Linked DNA regions of Schizosaccharomyces pombe. The gene in region 1 interacts genetically with each later gene. Each region holds a gene or a part of one and is shown in the gene's direction. Other genes may lie near its edges.

What was found.
Region 2: mutations in SPOM_SPCC24B10.18 (region 1) and sod2 together harm fitness more than expected from each alone (negative genetic interaction), as found in Schizosaccharomyces pombe (one large-scale study listed by BioGRID).
Region 3: mutations in SPOM_SPCC24B10.18 (region 1) and dph3 together harm fitness more than expected from each alone (negative genetic interaction), as found in Schizosaccharomyces pombe (one large-scale study listed by BioGRID).
Region 4: mutations in SPOM_SPCC24B10.18 (region 1) and dph1 together harm fitness more than expected from each alone (negative genetic interaction), as found in Schizosaccharomyces pombe (one large-scale study listed by BioGRID).

What each region holds. Positions count from the first base shown.
Region 1 is NC_003421.2:930,036-933,370, forward strand, and holds SPOM_SPCC24B10.18 (uncharacterized protein), read left to right. Parts: upstream 1-1,959; 5' UTR 1,960-1,986; coding exon 1,987-2,077; intron 2,078-2,359; coding exon 2,360-2,415; intron 2,416-2,468; coding exon 2,469-2,603; 3' UTR 2,604-2,812; downstream 2,813-3,335. Other genes in the region: proteasome assembly chaperone Pac4, read right to left, coding at 1-94; COPII-coated vesicle-associated protein Emp24, read left to right, coding at 556-649, 716-912, 1,043-1,351; protein Nts1, read right to left, coding at 2,928-3,335.
Region 2 is NC_003424.3:3,183,530-3,187,084, forward strand, and holds sod2 (manganese superoxide dismutase), read left to right. Parts: upstream 1-1,802; 5' UTR 1,803-1,940; coding exon 1,941-2,048; exon of another isoform or gene 2,049-2,171; coding exon 2,172-2,720; 3' UTR 2,721-3,055; downstream 3,056-3,555. Other genes in the region: Golgi Dsc E3 ligase complex transmembrane subunit, C-terminal UBA domain Dsc2, read right to left, coding at 3,225-3,555. UniProt on the Schizosaccharomyces pombe protein: Destroys superoxide anion radicals which are normally produced within the cells and which are toxic to biological systems.
Region 3 is NC_003424.3:2,853,834-2,857,377, reverse strand, and holds dph3 (diphthamide biosynthesis protein Dph3), read left to right. Parts: upstream 1-1,683; 5' UTR 1,684-1,715; coding exon 1,716-1,758; intron 1,759-1,800; coding exon 1,801-1,862; intron 1,863-1,921; coding exon 1,922-2,056; 3' UTR 2,057-2,209; intron 2,210-2,287; 3' UTR 2,288-2,973; downstream 2,974-3,544. Other genes in the region: msh3 (DNA mismatch repair protein), read right to left, coding at 1-1,447; rpl4102 (60S ribosomal protein eL41), read left to right, coding at 3,459-3,529.
Region 4 is NC_003423.3:3,385,295-3,389,374, reverse strand, and holds dph1 (diphthamide biosynthesis protein Dph1), read left to right. Parts: upstream 1-1,930; 5' UTR 1,931-2,057; coding exon 2,058-2,261; intron 2,262-2,349; coding exon 2,350-3,456; 3' UTR 3,457-3,573; downstream 3,574-4,080. Other genes in the region: plt1 (phosphate transporter), read right to left, coding at 1-1,343, 1,492-1,512, 1,568-1,612, 1,659-1,675. UniProt on the Schizosaccharomyces pombe protein: Catalyzes the first step of diphthamide biosynthesis, a post-translational modification of histidine which occurs in elongation factor 2.

The sequences.
Region 1 (3,335 bases):
TAGAAGAGGATGGATTCAGCTTTATGACTTGTATCCATACTTTTGGTATCATTGCATTCCCAAAATCAAGTTCTTTTTGGATGACTTGAAACATGGTAAAACAATTATTTTTTTTTAAAAATTCAAAGAAAGAGAGGACAAGCAAAGTGTGGCTTTAAAATGTTGGCAAAAATATTATGAATACAACAGTAAAGGTTTTCGAACAAATGGCAAGTTCATGCAAAACCTAATTAATAGGAGAGAAAAAAAAATAAAATGAATTGATGTTCAATAATAAGTTAAATACAAAATAAACGAAGTTTTGGAGAATTACTAGTTATACTCTGAAGACAAGAATGATTTAATAATTTCCACAGAAATAAGGAAAGATACCGTATTACGTTTTTTTTATAAAGACATCGTATTTTTTCTTAAGCAAATTTAACGTAGCGTCGCCTAATTTCACAGTTGTGCTTTGTTTATGCACGGTTGCCCTCCAACTAGTGCTTTGTACGTTTCCTCTACCATAGACCTCATTCTTGCTGCTTCAAAGAGCAAAGAGCTTTACTTTGCAAAATGGCGTTTTTTAACGTATTTAAAGCCGTGTTATGTGCTTATTTTATATCTGTTGTTTTCGGTCATGGCATTACATTGAAACCGCATCAACGAGGTATGTAATTTCAGTGTATTTGTGTTGAGATTCATGGAGTATACAATGCTAATGAAGCAAACTTAGAATGTTTCTATGAAAATTTGAGGAATAATGATCAAATGTCTGTCACTTATCAAACAAACGTTGGTGGTGATCAGCTTGTTTCTATGAGTATCTACAATCCTGCGGGTCAAATTATGCATCAAGAGGTTCCCAACTCTATGGCCCAATATTCTTTCACCGTTAAGAACCCAGGGAAATACATGTATTGTTTCTATAATGTATGTGTTATCTTTTTGTTTTCTGGCATCAAAGCCTGGCATTATGGTCGTCATTTCCCATGTCGTCTAATTGTTTGATGGTTGAGCCGGAAACAGCTAGATGTACAATCTTAACTAACAACATCAATAGGATGCACTCGATGGTGAATCAAAGGAGGTTTTATTCAATGTGCATGGTGTTATATATATCTCTGATGAAGATTTGGATGCTAACAATCCTTTACTCGGCAAGGTCCGCCAACTCCATGATACCATCTCCAAGGTAAAACATGAGCAGGAGTATTTTGTGGCTCGTGAAAGAATACATCGCAATACTGCTGAAAGCACAAATGACCGCGTCAAGTGGTGGAGTATTCTTCAAACCGTTATTCTAGTTTCCGTATGTGTATTCCAAATTTTCTACTTAAAGCGACTTTTCGAAGTAAAGCGTGTTGTATAGTTTATCCGCATAACGTTACTTATTGTTCGCAATAAGTTTTCCGTGCGACTGGACGACGGTCGTAATTTCAAGATTCTGCTTGAGCAGCAAAAAGTATTATAATTGGTCTCTATTTGAAGCTGGCCATCACCGACGACTAAATTTTTTTTAAAAAATTTTATTTCCTGTCGGTTGCTGGCGTTTTCCCTTTCAATCTGAATCTTTAATCTGTCTTTTACTTGTGCAGGTTAATGTTTTCTTTTATGATCTCGCCTGTTCTTTAAAAAAAAAGATTCGTTATGTTTGAAGCAATCATTTAGCAAACGTACGTGTTTTTTAATGAATTTTAAAGTCTTAATTTCTTAAATCATTCTGCACTGTGGGAAACACTGCACTTTAACTTTCACATTTTATGGCATTCCGATCTTTCTAAAGGTACACTTTTTTTATAGACGGTAACATTAACAGTATAACAATTCCCTCATTATACATTTGCTTATAAAACGAATTATTTAGTCTGTAATGCCACTTGTATGTATTACTTATTGCTGTATTCATGGCGATGTTTGTTACCTCCTTCTAATGTTACCTTCAAAGTATCTATGAAAATTCATTTACTACACCAAACTATAACCATTACCATTTATCGTAACTCAATGGCACAAGGAGAATTTAAAAAGAAGAAAAATAGTAGTGCCAACAAGGGCGGACGTGTTACAAAACACTCCAAGAATCCTAAAAAAGGCGGTATGTCAGCTGCAACTGTCAAATATTCGGTGATCTTTGTATGCTAGGGAATTTGGTTTAGGGATGTTTCTTTTAATATTTTAAGCTCATTGAAGTTGTTGGACAACCTTTGTGGTGCTATAAACTCTTCATCTTTTCGTAACTTTAGATACTCATTATAGTAAAATTTTTCATTAAATTTTTTGATACACGTTTCAATCATTTTACTCTTAAGCATACAAGATATCATATTATATGGTTTATCATTCATCATTAATACTCATTACTAACCTTGACTTTTAGCTCGTTATTGTGCCCCTAGAAGAGCAGCTGCTATCAAAGACCATACAATTAATGCGGTATGTTTTAAAATTTACTTTTATATATGTTCTTTTTGCTAATATCTTTAAAGAACATTACAAAAACATTAAATGTTCGCAATGAGAAACTAATTGCCGGAATTGCGTCTCAACAAGTGGGCAAGTTGACAATTACTAAGGCATTAGGTGAAGCTGGTGCCAAGGAGTTAAAGGAGGGAAAGCATTGAGTCGTTTGGTATTTCTTTTTGTGTAACTGTTTTGTTCCTTTTCAAAAGGAGGTAAATGGCTACACTTGATCATACTGCATTTATCGAATTGTAGCATTGGTTTTGGAATTTTATTACTATTATGGTTAAGTATACAGGGAATTCGGTTCATTTTTGATTATTATTTATAAATTAATTTTGTTGGGAAATGAGTAAACGTTATATACAAATATTGTTGTTTGATAATTTTCTTTAAATAATTAGACTCAGTAGTGTTCCAAATAAAAAGCTCGTAATTCTAAGATTAATAATTATGTTCCACAAAAAAAATGCTTTTAAACATTCTTAAGTCCTCGTTCGTTTGTTTCGCGATAAGTTTACAGAAGTAGTTTTCGTTTTGGAGTTCTGTCCTCGCCCAGAATTTGACTCTGCATTTGAAATGGCTTTATTTAAAATTCTCCACTCCTGCTGCCATGTGTCGAGTAATGTTCTAATTCTTTTAATCTTTACTCGTTTTTCTGGAGTATCTTCCGGTGGGTGTTCTCTTTTAAGAAAATCAATCAGCTCTGAAAGCTCTTTCTCTGAATCGGAAGATTCCAATTCTATTCTCTCTTCCGCTTCAACTTTCCCGTCACCGTTAACTTCTAAATCAACTTCTTCTTTAATGCTTTCTTTTTCCGAAGTAGCCGTTGTTCCTTCTACCGGTTTGTGATGGCCACGTAGCATTTCTTCTGTTGCCGCAGTCGCTTTTTC
Region 2 (3,555 bases), on another chromosome or scaffold:
TTCTGTACAAAACAAAAGTATTATGATCCGAGAAATACTAATTTGTAGTAGGTAAACAAAGAGCATTATACTGAATAATAGAATACGAAGCTTGGACAGAGAACAGTTATTAATACTATCCATAATTTTTTAATTTCCCTGTTTTCCTAGTTTGTAGATTTGTTAGCGAGTAATATTTCATGCTTAAAATAAGTTGATTAAGAATCTGATTCGGGTCTACAGTTTGAAAAAGACAGTATATCTTTTCAGAATGATTATGACGATATAGTTTTATCGAGTTTGTGGAAATTACTGTTGAAATAATTAAAGATGTATGAATTAATTAATTACTTAACCAAAGGACGGTATGTAAATCTAAAAACAATGTTTGGGGTTTCAAAACACTTGCTTATTTATTATAAGAAAATGCTGAGATTCAAAAATTTTTAGTAAGAAGAAAAGGACTACATTAATTGCGGTTTGCAACTGTTTTGTCATATGGTAACTTAGTAAATTTTTTTGTTTTTGATGAAAAGGTAAATAAATACCCATCATCGCACCTACTAACCTACATACTCCATTGTAATTGAATAGCTCTTTAAAAATGAATAATTTCAATGACAGCATTTGAACTTCCTAACGATTACATTGTTTAATGCATCAATATCGTTAATCAATAATCATTGATATTTGCCAATTGATTAGGAAAGAACAAATTATTTTATGCAATCATGATCTTTATTCCTTAAAAAAAAAAAAAAAAAAAAATTGGGAAATACACATTGTAGCTATACTTGCTAGAACGCGAATTATACTTTGAGTTACACTTTGTCTCACCCAAAATAAAGAAAAAGAAAAAGAAGTTTCATGCACCATTAATAAAAAAAAACACGATAAAAATTACACAAAAAATTTATACAAGCAATTAACCTAAAAAATAAAAAAACACAATATAAAATACATGAAAAAAATATATGTATAATTAACTACTAAAATTAGCCGATGCTTATTTCTGGTTCAAAAAGCGAATTGCGTAACTCATGAATATCAATCAATTTTTGTATAGAAAGTTGAAAATATTAAACTTCAAGTACAGTTTTATTAACTGTACAAATATTTGCCGAGTTACTTCCTCGTTATTACCGCTTCGCTGCACTACTTATCTATTTTGCAAAGGCAATTCCTTCAACTCTGATTTCGATACCCTTTAACTAGTAGAGCCGCTGTTTCTTTTTTCATTGTGTGCTTATAAGGGTAATTTGTTGCAGGACGGATTTTTCAATTGCATCAATACTCAATCGCATCAGAAGTCAATTTGAAAAAATAAAATATTTACAATGTACTAATCACACTACTAGTTGCACTCGCCGAATTCTTGATTCGGTATTGTAAAATCATTTCTAACAATTCAATGTAAAGAAGTTGCCCTTTTAAACTTCAGTAACATTTGTTGAGTTGTCATTTCTATAAGTTCAAGTACCATTAATTGCTTGCACTTAACAAAACCTTCCAAAATTTTTTGCTTGATAATAATGTCGTAGTAAATATTATTACATTGCTATAATCTAGTAACCTAGAGTAATGAAGATTGCTAAATGAATGCAGAGAATTTTGAGAAGTTGGTGAAATGAAGATACGTTGAACTTCACATTCTACTCTATAAAACTAGTTCTTAATGGTTCATTAACAAGTTGCACAATTTGTTGTTTACCACATTTTTGGTGTAATATTTCGGAAATGACTTTCTCCAGACATTTCATAGGCCAGACGTAATTTCGAGAATTTATATAGGCTCCTTTCACCCTACTCCATACTTTCCCTCTACCATATACGATTTGTTCAATCAAACCGTACAATTTAGTTATAAGTTAAGGTATTTAACAAAGAAAACATTTCGGTTTACTTTGTTCGTTGGTCACTTTGGTTGCTATTACTTTTTTACTTTTGATCTCATTTTAACGATGCTTCGCTTTTTGTCTAAGAACTCTGTAGCCGCTATTAGGAACGTCTCAATTGCCAGGGGAGTTCATACTAAGGCTACTCTTCCCCCTTTACCTTATGCTTACAATGTATGCAATAAATAGTTGTAAAAGCAATTGCTCATGTTGATGGGTTCTGAAGCAATCATAAGTTTTGGATGTTTCCCACTGTCTAGTTAATTTGTTAATGATGATTACTAACTATAGCTTTAGGCACTTGAACCTGCTTTGTCGGAAACGATTATGAAGTTACATCATGACAAGCATCACCAAACATATGTTAACAACTTGAATGCCGCTCAGGAGAAGCTGGCCGATCCCAACCTCGATTTGGAGGGAGAGGTTGCCCTTCAAGCTGCTATTAAATTCAATGGCGGTGGTCACATCAATCATTCTCTCTTTTGGAAGATTTTAGCACCTCAAAAGGAAGGTGGTGGCAAACCCGTCACCTCTGGATCTTTACATAAGGCTATAACCTCTAAATGGGGTTCTTTGGAGGATTTCCAGAAGGAAATGAATGCCGCCTTAGCTAGCATCCAAGGTAGTGGTTGGGCATGGCTAATCGTGGATAAAGACGGTAGTCTCCGTATTACTACTACTGCTAACCAAGACACGATTGTCAAGTCCAAGCCCATTATTGGAATTGATGCTTGGGAACATGCCTACTATCCTCAATACGAGAATCGTAAGGCCGAATACTTTAAAGCTATTTGGAATGTGATTAATTGGAAAGAGGCCGAGTCTCGTTATTCCAACCGTTAAGTCCTTAAACATGTTATGCTCGATTACGAAAACACCCTGCTCATCTATCTATCCAGCTAACAAAGTATCAATTACCAGGAAAGTGTGATGTTTTGTTATTTTATTTTTGTGTTTCTTTTTGGCAGTAGCTTTGAATTTTCAAATTCATAGATTTGATAAGTTTCTAGTCTACTACCTTTGATCAATGAATGAACTAAATTTTACATTGAAATTTCCTGAAATAAAGCTATTAGACAATACCAAATTTTTTCGTTAACGATTACTACAGATCCATATTTACGAATAAAGTAAAAAATAAAAGACTAGAAACCTTCACCACTCACAGGTTTGCGCAATCATTGACAGTAAACAATTAGCTTATGATAAATGGGACAAAACAATTGCTATGTAGGAAATGTAAATAATTCATGGTAAGAAATGATGTTCAAAATTAGCAAAATTTTAAACAGGAAAGAACGAAGATAAGAAATGTGTTGTTTTGTGATCGCTTGATTAAAGAACAGTTTAATAGTCGGCTGTTTGCTCCAATAACAATTCTACAGCTCTCTGCACATCGTTAGTTTGAGATAAGGCCTGGATAGCTTGAGCTCTAGAAGTTTGCATAATCGTTTGGACAGTGTTTATATCCTCTTCTCTAATATTTCCTAATTCAGGACGTTCTGATCGGCCGCTTAACATATCGTACAACTGAGAAGCCGGTCCTGTTGGGAGAACAGAAGATGACGAGGTTCGACCAAGGGGAGGATGTGATATTTGCTGACGATTACGGAACGATGCTGCAGTATTGGATGAAGAAGCGATAGCTGTTGCTCGAGCGTTCTGTCGAGTCGGAGAA
Region 3 (3,544 bases), on another chromosome or scaffold:
ACAGCATTTTACGAATTGCTTGAACTTGACTATTAGAATTAAAGGCTAATTCCTCAACCGCGTCCAGACGCTCGATTATATTTTCTTTATCAACCAAAGGCTTTTGAAGCCATCTCTGAAGCATCCTTTGTCCAAATCTTGTGTATGTGCGATCTAACACCCAAAATAGGCTACCAACAGGTGTATGATCTGTTTGATTAACGAAAAGCTCAAGACCTTCCAAAGCCTGTTTACTTAAAACCATAGAAGAAATGCTATCAAAAGGTTGATAAAAGTTTGAAGCAACGAATAGATCTTCCAATGAGAATTCCATCAAATAAGAAATGGCCATGTCCAAACAAATGATTGAAAGAGAATGTAAAGACTTCACCTTTTCCATGTGTAATTCTATAATTTTGCTACCGGACATGATGCATTTAGAAGAAAAGAAGTCCTGCAAATTCTCCAATGCTAGTTTCACGTCCTGCTGAACAGCATGTTGCACACGCACTACTCTACCGCAAGTTTTTTCAGTTGATACGTAATGATTCAGTAGGGCAACCGATTCGGAAGATAACTTGTTCGAATATATCAATTCACAAGGTTGAAAATGAGAAAGTCTTGTTTGTAATTCGCTTCTCAAAAAATCATCTTGAAAATGATCATAAACAGTAGTTCCAGATGATAATTGTATGGCAATTAGTCCAACCTGAACTCTTCCTGATTTTGCTTTGCTCTTATCAACATTATCTGCAACACATAGGATAAATTGGGAAGCTTGTAGTGTACCATGCTGTGTTTGCTCAAAGCGAAAAAAGCTATCATCTAGAGTAGTCCCCTTGGTAAGCACGCGAGCAACTCGTCTGTCAAACAGAGTGTTTCTGCTAGAGCTAGTTGACTTGAGAGCGGCTGTTTCAGTTTGTCGAACAACAGCAACTTTGAGACCAAAATTAATGAGTCTTTCCAAGTGATAGTCAATACGATACGAGGGAACACTAGCATTTAAAAAATTGTGCTCAAAATAGCAACTAATTCCTAACACCTCAGAGGCTATTTTTGCATCCTTCCCAAAAAATCGGAACTTATATCCTACTTCAATTGCCAAAATAGTTTCTTGATAATTTTTCTTCAATTCTAAGTATTGCTGCTCAAGTGGTGTGAAAACAGATTTCTGTTTAGTAGGTTTCGATGCTTTTCTTTGCACTAATTCTTTATTTGAAGTAGATTTAACCGTACGAATTCTCCTCTTTCGTTTTATGCTTATAAGAGGCGCGTTCTCATCAATCGAAGAACTTCCCTCATCTTCTTGATAGCTATTTTTTGAACTACCAACATTATTTTCTAGTAACTCTATGGCTGGACCACTGAGGGCAACCATATCTTCTGATATTGCTCCTTCATGTAAATTATCTGATAGAATATTAATAGCGTCGCATTCATGAGTAATGTTATAACTCATTCCTCTCATGTAATAAAGCGAAAATAAAAACTGTACAATCAAATTTGCTCAACATAGATTTGTAACGCATTTATAGTTTCTAAATGAATATAGGCGGACGTTTTAAAAAATACAACAAAACGGTAACAAGTAAGTATCGTTCTCCTCTAAATTACAGTAGATTCCATTTATGTTAAACTTAGCTTGTAGTTTTCATTATGGGCGGTTCCCACATATAAAACAAATTTTTGGTGGAGTGGCCACGCACCTTCTGCCAGTAGTGCATTGAAGCGGCAAAATGTCATTTTACGACGAAATCGAGTTAGAAGATTTCACGTTTGGTATGTATTTGTTAAAAGTTGAATACTTTTGCTAATTAAAAGACGCCGGTACGAACTTGTACACTTTTCCCTGTCCTTGTGGGGATCGCTTCGAGATATCTTTGGTATGTATTGATACGCAATTTCTTAATATTTTGGAAGTTTATACTAATTCATTATTTAGGAAGATCTTCAATTAGGGGAAGATGTTGCTCGTTGCCCAAGCTGCAGCTTGATTGTCCGGGTGATCTATGATGAAGATGAATTCATGGAAGTTGATAACGATGCTTCTACAGCACCTATAATCATTGCAGCATAATTTTTCCCTATAATTTCTTATTTGGTTTTTTACTTCTATTTATTCTCAAAATGTCTTGAAATTACGAAGGATAGGAGGGCTACTCTTTACATCGTGATATCCTCAAAATTTATTTGTTTAGTTTTCTCAGATCACTGGTTTTGTATTGGCATAGTACGTTTGTTGTTCATTCTATTAATAATTAAACTGTATCTTTTTAGTTGAATTTGTAAGTTTTTAACAACACTTTAGGCAAGTTTTTTGAGCGTACGACTTTTCCAAAGATTATTTTGCCCATATAATACAGTTTACTTATAAAATAATTTCTATTACCACTAGCTTCCGTAAGCATGCGCACCTCAACGGTAACTTTCTTTCTTCAAAATTAAAATGAACAACGCCTCTGCAAAACATTAAGGGAAGAATGGAAGAAAATTTAAAGAGAACTTCATTAGGAAATAACAATCTTTACTCGAAACTAAAAGCCCACCTTTAGCTATTTTTGTTAAGTGATAAATTATTGCATTTCTGCGTATGTTTTAACAACGCATAATTTTAAAACACTTTACGAAACGAGTTTAAGTTTATAAAATAGCTTTATAACTTATTCTTTCAAAAAAACGTTTTCATTATTACAAATAATGGATAAATGCTATTCAATTTATTCTTCGTTTCAAGATTGTGGAATTAAAATGAATTCGTACTTGTGCTCAACGTAAGTACGTATTGAAGTCCAAGTTGCGATCAATTCCACAGAATTTTGAAATTTCATTGCTAAAGCATTTGAAACTTATCAGTTGAACTAAAAGCCAGCTACTTAACAGTATTTCCATCAATTTACTTATAAAGCAATATCATTCCAGCTTTAGTGCGACATACCACAGTGGAATCTCAAATTTATTTAGAAGCTTAAAAGGGAATTTAAACATTACGCAAATGTAAGCTACGCAGTTTGGTATCTAATTTAAGGATACGTAGAACTGCGGTGAGTTTTCCTTGTGATCTATTATATTACAATACACAGGTTGTATAAGTAGCAACTGAGTATAGGTATTGTATTAACTGGGTTATAATGTTACCTATCACTAATATAGCTCATAACTGAACTGAGGAACGAGGTTCAGCAGTAGCTCTATTTATAGTATTCAGATAATATTGATCTTAATAGATTATCATTAAGATCAATCTCCATATCGTATCATACATGGTACGATATATAATTAGAACATGTGACATATAGTGATACTCAACGTAGTGTATCATAGCGTAGTGTAGTATTGCTGACAGCAAACTTAATTAACGAACTTTTTATAATATGTTATTGCATATAGCACGACGCTATCTCATATGCCAGAGCCAAAGAAACAGTCACATTTTCGTATATCTAACATGTGGCCTACAATACATTTTTACCACTGCCAAGATGCGTGATAAATGGAGGAAAAAACGCGTGCGTCGTCTCAAACGTAAAAGAAGAAAGATGAGAGCCAGATCGTAAGTCTAATATAA
Region 4 (4,080 bases), on another chromosome or scaffold:
GTGAACCGTTCTCATCTCTCAAAATTTTCAAAAACACAGTCATAAAAGGAACCAAAAACGAAGTAACGAACAAAGGAATAGCCTCCGTAGCCCATAATAAAGAAACCATTACTAACAAAGCCAAACAATTGTTCTGTTCCCTATTATCTATGACAGGAAAACTTAATAAGAGAATAAATATAACGATAATAGTAATTAAAGTTGCAATCGTGCTATTAAAGAAGCATCTTGGGATTCTAAAAACACCAAATTTAGTTTTGATTGTAAAATAGGGGGGCTGTTCTGATTCTTTCTCATCAGCTGCGACAGGCTTCAGTCCTGATAATCTCGCGGCCTGAGTACGACGCTCCATAGCCATCATTTCACGCCAAATAGTGTTCCTTTCCCATGCAACGTATTCACGAAGATGACCACGAAGGCGACGGATAGCCACAAATGTATCGCCTTGACAGCATAGCTTAGCATACCACTCTGCAACAATATTTAAACGCTTTGACAATGTTTTCCCAGTAGCAGGAAGGAAAGGGTAAGCTTGGTTGACGCGCTTCATGTACGATTCACGAAGGCTACTACCCAAAGTTTTATCATATTTTTTTAAGATTTTTGAAAAACCAGTATAATTAAGATGGACGTACGAAATCAAGTCATGAATTGAAACATACAACTGTGTCAGTTTTCGCTTTAAAGAAACGAAGTTTTCGTACGCAACAATATCAGATGGATATTGTTCAATAAGCAACCATCGATTGTTATTGTTGTTATCTTCGTCTTCATCTTCGTCCTCATCTTCATCATCATCATCATCATCTTCCTCCTCCACCTCATCATCATTGCCTTGTACCTCAGGTTGAGCTTCTGAATGTTGTTTTTTTGATAAACCGTTTTTAGAAGTATCGACATCATGAGGTTCAGACGGTTGAATAGCAGTAGATTCTGCTCTAGATATAGCAGGGGCCGCATAACCTCCATCACTAGTTTGCCCATTGAGATATATCTCACGGTTTGAAGAAGTAATGCGAGGCAATTCTTGGCTGCGGGCCATACGACCAGATTTCCTACTCGCTGAGCTCTTTTGTAATCGTTCAGGGGTAGGGTAATTAATGTTGTTTCCCTGACTCATATACTCATTCTCATAGGTTTCAAATTCGCCCTTAATTCTACCATACTGATCAGCAATTTCTTTTTCTTTAGGAGCATAAAATTCAACAATTCCTTGTAATTCCTTGTCTAAAGCAAACATAAAGCGATCATCGGGTGATCTTCTTTCGTGCTCTAACAGCCTAGTTTCTTCATCTGGAGCGCCTTGTTGTAATGTTATCTGTTCATGTTCCAATGAATAAATACTTAAAAATATATGTTAGCAAAATTCAAGTACAATTTTATTCTCCGGCTGTTAATCAGACATTATCCCAAATTTCGCAAGTATGAATTTGTCGGAATATAGGATATATCATAATAGCCAGTCGTAAGCTCGAGAATTTTCAAACATACAGCTTCTTAAGGTTCGAGTAACTAAGCACCGATTGTTAGCAAAAATCGGAAGTAATCCAACAGGTTGTTTACTTACGCAATGTAGCTTTCGGACCATTCCGGTACTGCATTAAATTGAAGACTAAAAAGTAATTAGAACAAGTCTTGTGAAAACTGATGCAACAAACCTATGACTGAATTTCATCTTGGATGACAGAGGTCATTTAACTTCAATTGTGACTAAAAACAGCTTTAGCTTATTCACGCAAATTAATTTGGAACAATCTAAAGGAGCGTTAGCCGTTCAAATTTCGTGGCCTATGATCGGAGGTGAAGCTGTATTCGTGGATCCAACCTCCGATAGAAATAGCGTAATATAACAACGTGTGTTAAATAATATAGCAAAGTGCAATGCTTTTTTACTTAGTAAATTATTTGGGATCCTATTGTATTTTAATTTAACAAACAAGCAATTTGCAGGGAAAAAGGATTTTTGGCATTCTATCAATTTAAATACATACATAGCATTGGTTACTTCTTGGGATTTCAAAGGGTTTTAGTAATAGACTTTATAATTTTAAAACACAATGGCGGAAGTGAAAAAATCAATTCCAAAACGTCGTTTTGTTGGCAAAAAAAATAGGAAGGAAAATAATTTGGATGGTTCTAATAGAGATGTTGAAAATGCTGCTCTCGTCACTATTAACTCCAAGAGGAGCGCTGGACGAGTAGCTACTCAAATCCCAGAGGATATATTAAACGATAAAGCAATTAATGAAGCTATAAAATTGGTAAGCTGCTTTTATTAGAGAAAGATGCCGTAAATTAGTTTCTTCTTTTCTCAAAAACATCAAAGCTTGGTCAGCTAACCTTTAATAGTTACCGCAAAATTACAATTTTGAAATTCACAAAACCATTTGGCATATTCGCTTACGAAAAGCAAAACGTGTTGCCTTGCAACTTCCCGAGGGGCTATTGATGTTTGGTTGTATATTGTCTGATATTTTTGAACAATTTTGCCAGGTCGAGACAATTGTGATGGGCGACGTTACATACGGTGCGTGTTGTATTGACGATTTTACAGCTAGGGCACTCGATTGCGATTTTTTAGTACACTATGGTCATTCTTGTCTTATACCTGTTGATCAAACGCCCATAAAGGTGCTATATGTTTTCGTGGATATAAAGATAGATTTGCAACATGTCGTATCATCTTTAAAACATAATCTACCCTCCAATTCTAGGTTAGCTTTGGTTGGAACTATCCAATTTGTTGGATCTCTCAACTCTATAAAAGACGCTTTGCAAATACAGGATGAAGACGGAAAGGGAGGTTTTTACGTTGTTATTCCACAAGCAAAGCCATTATCTCCTGGAGAGGCGTTGGGATGTACATCTCCCTATATTGAAAAAGGATCTGTAGATGCATTAATTTACATTGGTGACGGAAGATTCCATTTGGAATCTGTCATGATTGCTAATCCTGATTTGCCCGCATACCGCTATGATCCTTACTCACATAAGCTCTCTATTGAATCTTATGCTCATGAAGAAATGAAATCTATTCGGTATTCCGCCGTTGAGAAAGCTCGTACCGCTAAAAAGTTCGGTCTAATTCAAGGTACACTGGGTCGACAGGGGTCTCCTAAGGTACTCGAAAATTTAAAGAATACTTTAAGGAAAAATAATAAAGATTTCGTTTGCGTTTTAATGTCAGAAATTTTTCCTAGTAGATTGGGTCAATTCTCTGATATTGACGCGTGGATTCAGGTCGCTTGTCCAAGGCTTTCCATAGATTGGGGCTATGCATTTCCCGCTCCATTGTTGACACCATATGAAGCATCTGCTGCTTTTAATGTTGTTCCTTGGAAGGAAGTTTATCCTATGGACTTTTACGCTACCAATTCATTAGGTAATTGGACTCCAAATAATCCCGAAAATCGACCTCTGCCAAATCGCAAAAAAACCGGACCCGTTTCTTCTTAACGCTACTTGCCATTAATGGCACTAATACTTGTTATTTTTTAACCCTTATATTGTTCTTTATAGGTTTATTAAAATACCAATAGAATTCTCATCTGATAAATACAATATGTATTACATAAACTACTGCTTTAATATATTTATATTTAAACTATGCACCGGCAGGCGCGTCCCTCATTTTAAGGAAATTTATAAGTAACCAGCCCTACATGTTGTAAAGTAACGATTGAATGTGTCCAGCATACCCCCCTGTTCCATGGCGGTTATAAAATCAACACAAGCAATGCGAAATTTTTTTCTTGTTATGTTGTTCTAACTTTTTTTATGTGAGTAGTTCTAGTAGCTGCAGATAGGTTCAGGATGCTTAGCCAAGTAAGCCAATAGGAATGTTCTTGATCGTTATCACTCCGTCACCGTCCGATTCAGCTTAAACACTCCCATAACCCATTCTCAAAGTGAATCCCTTTTTCTCCCTTCTAATAGTGTTGTTATATATACTTATATATAATAAAAAGGTAGGTTAATAGCATCATATTACAAGTTAACACATTTTGATGAGAGAATTTCATGCTATGATACCGGAGCGGATATGTCTGCGCAAAAATCACTCCACTTGATTTGCATATA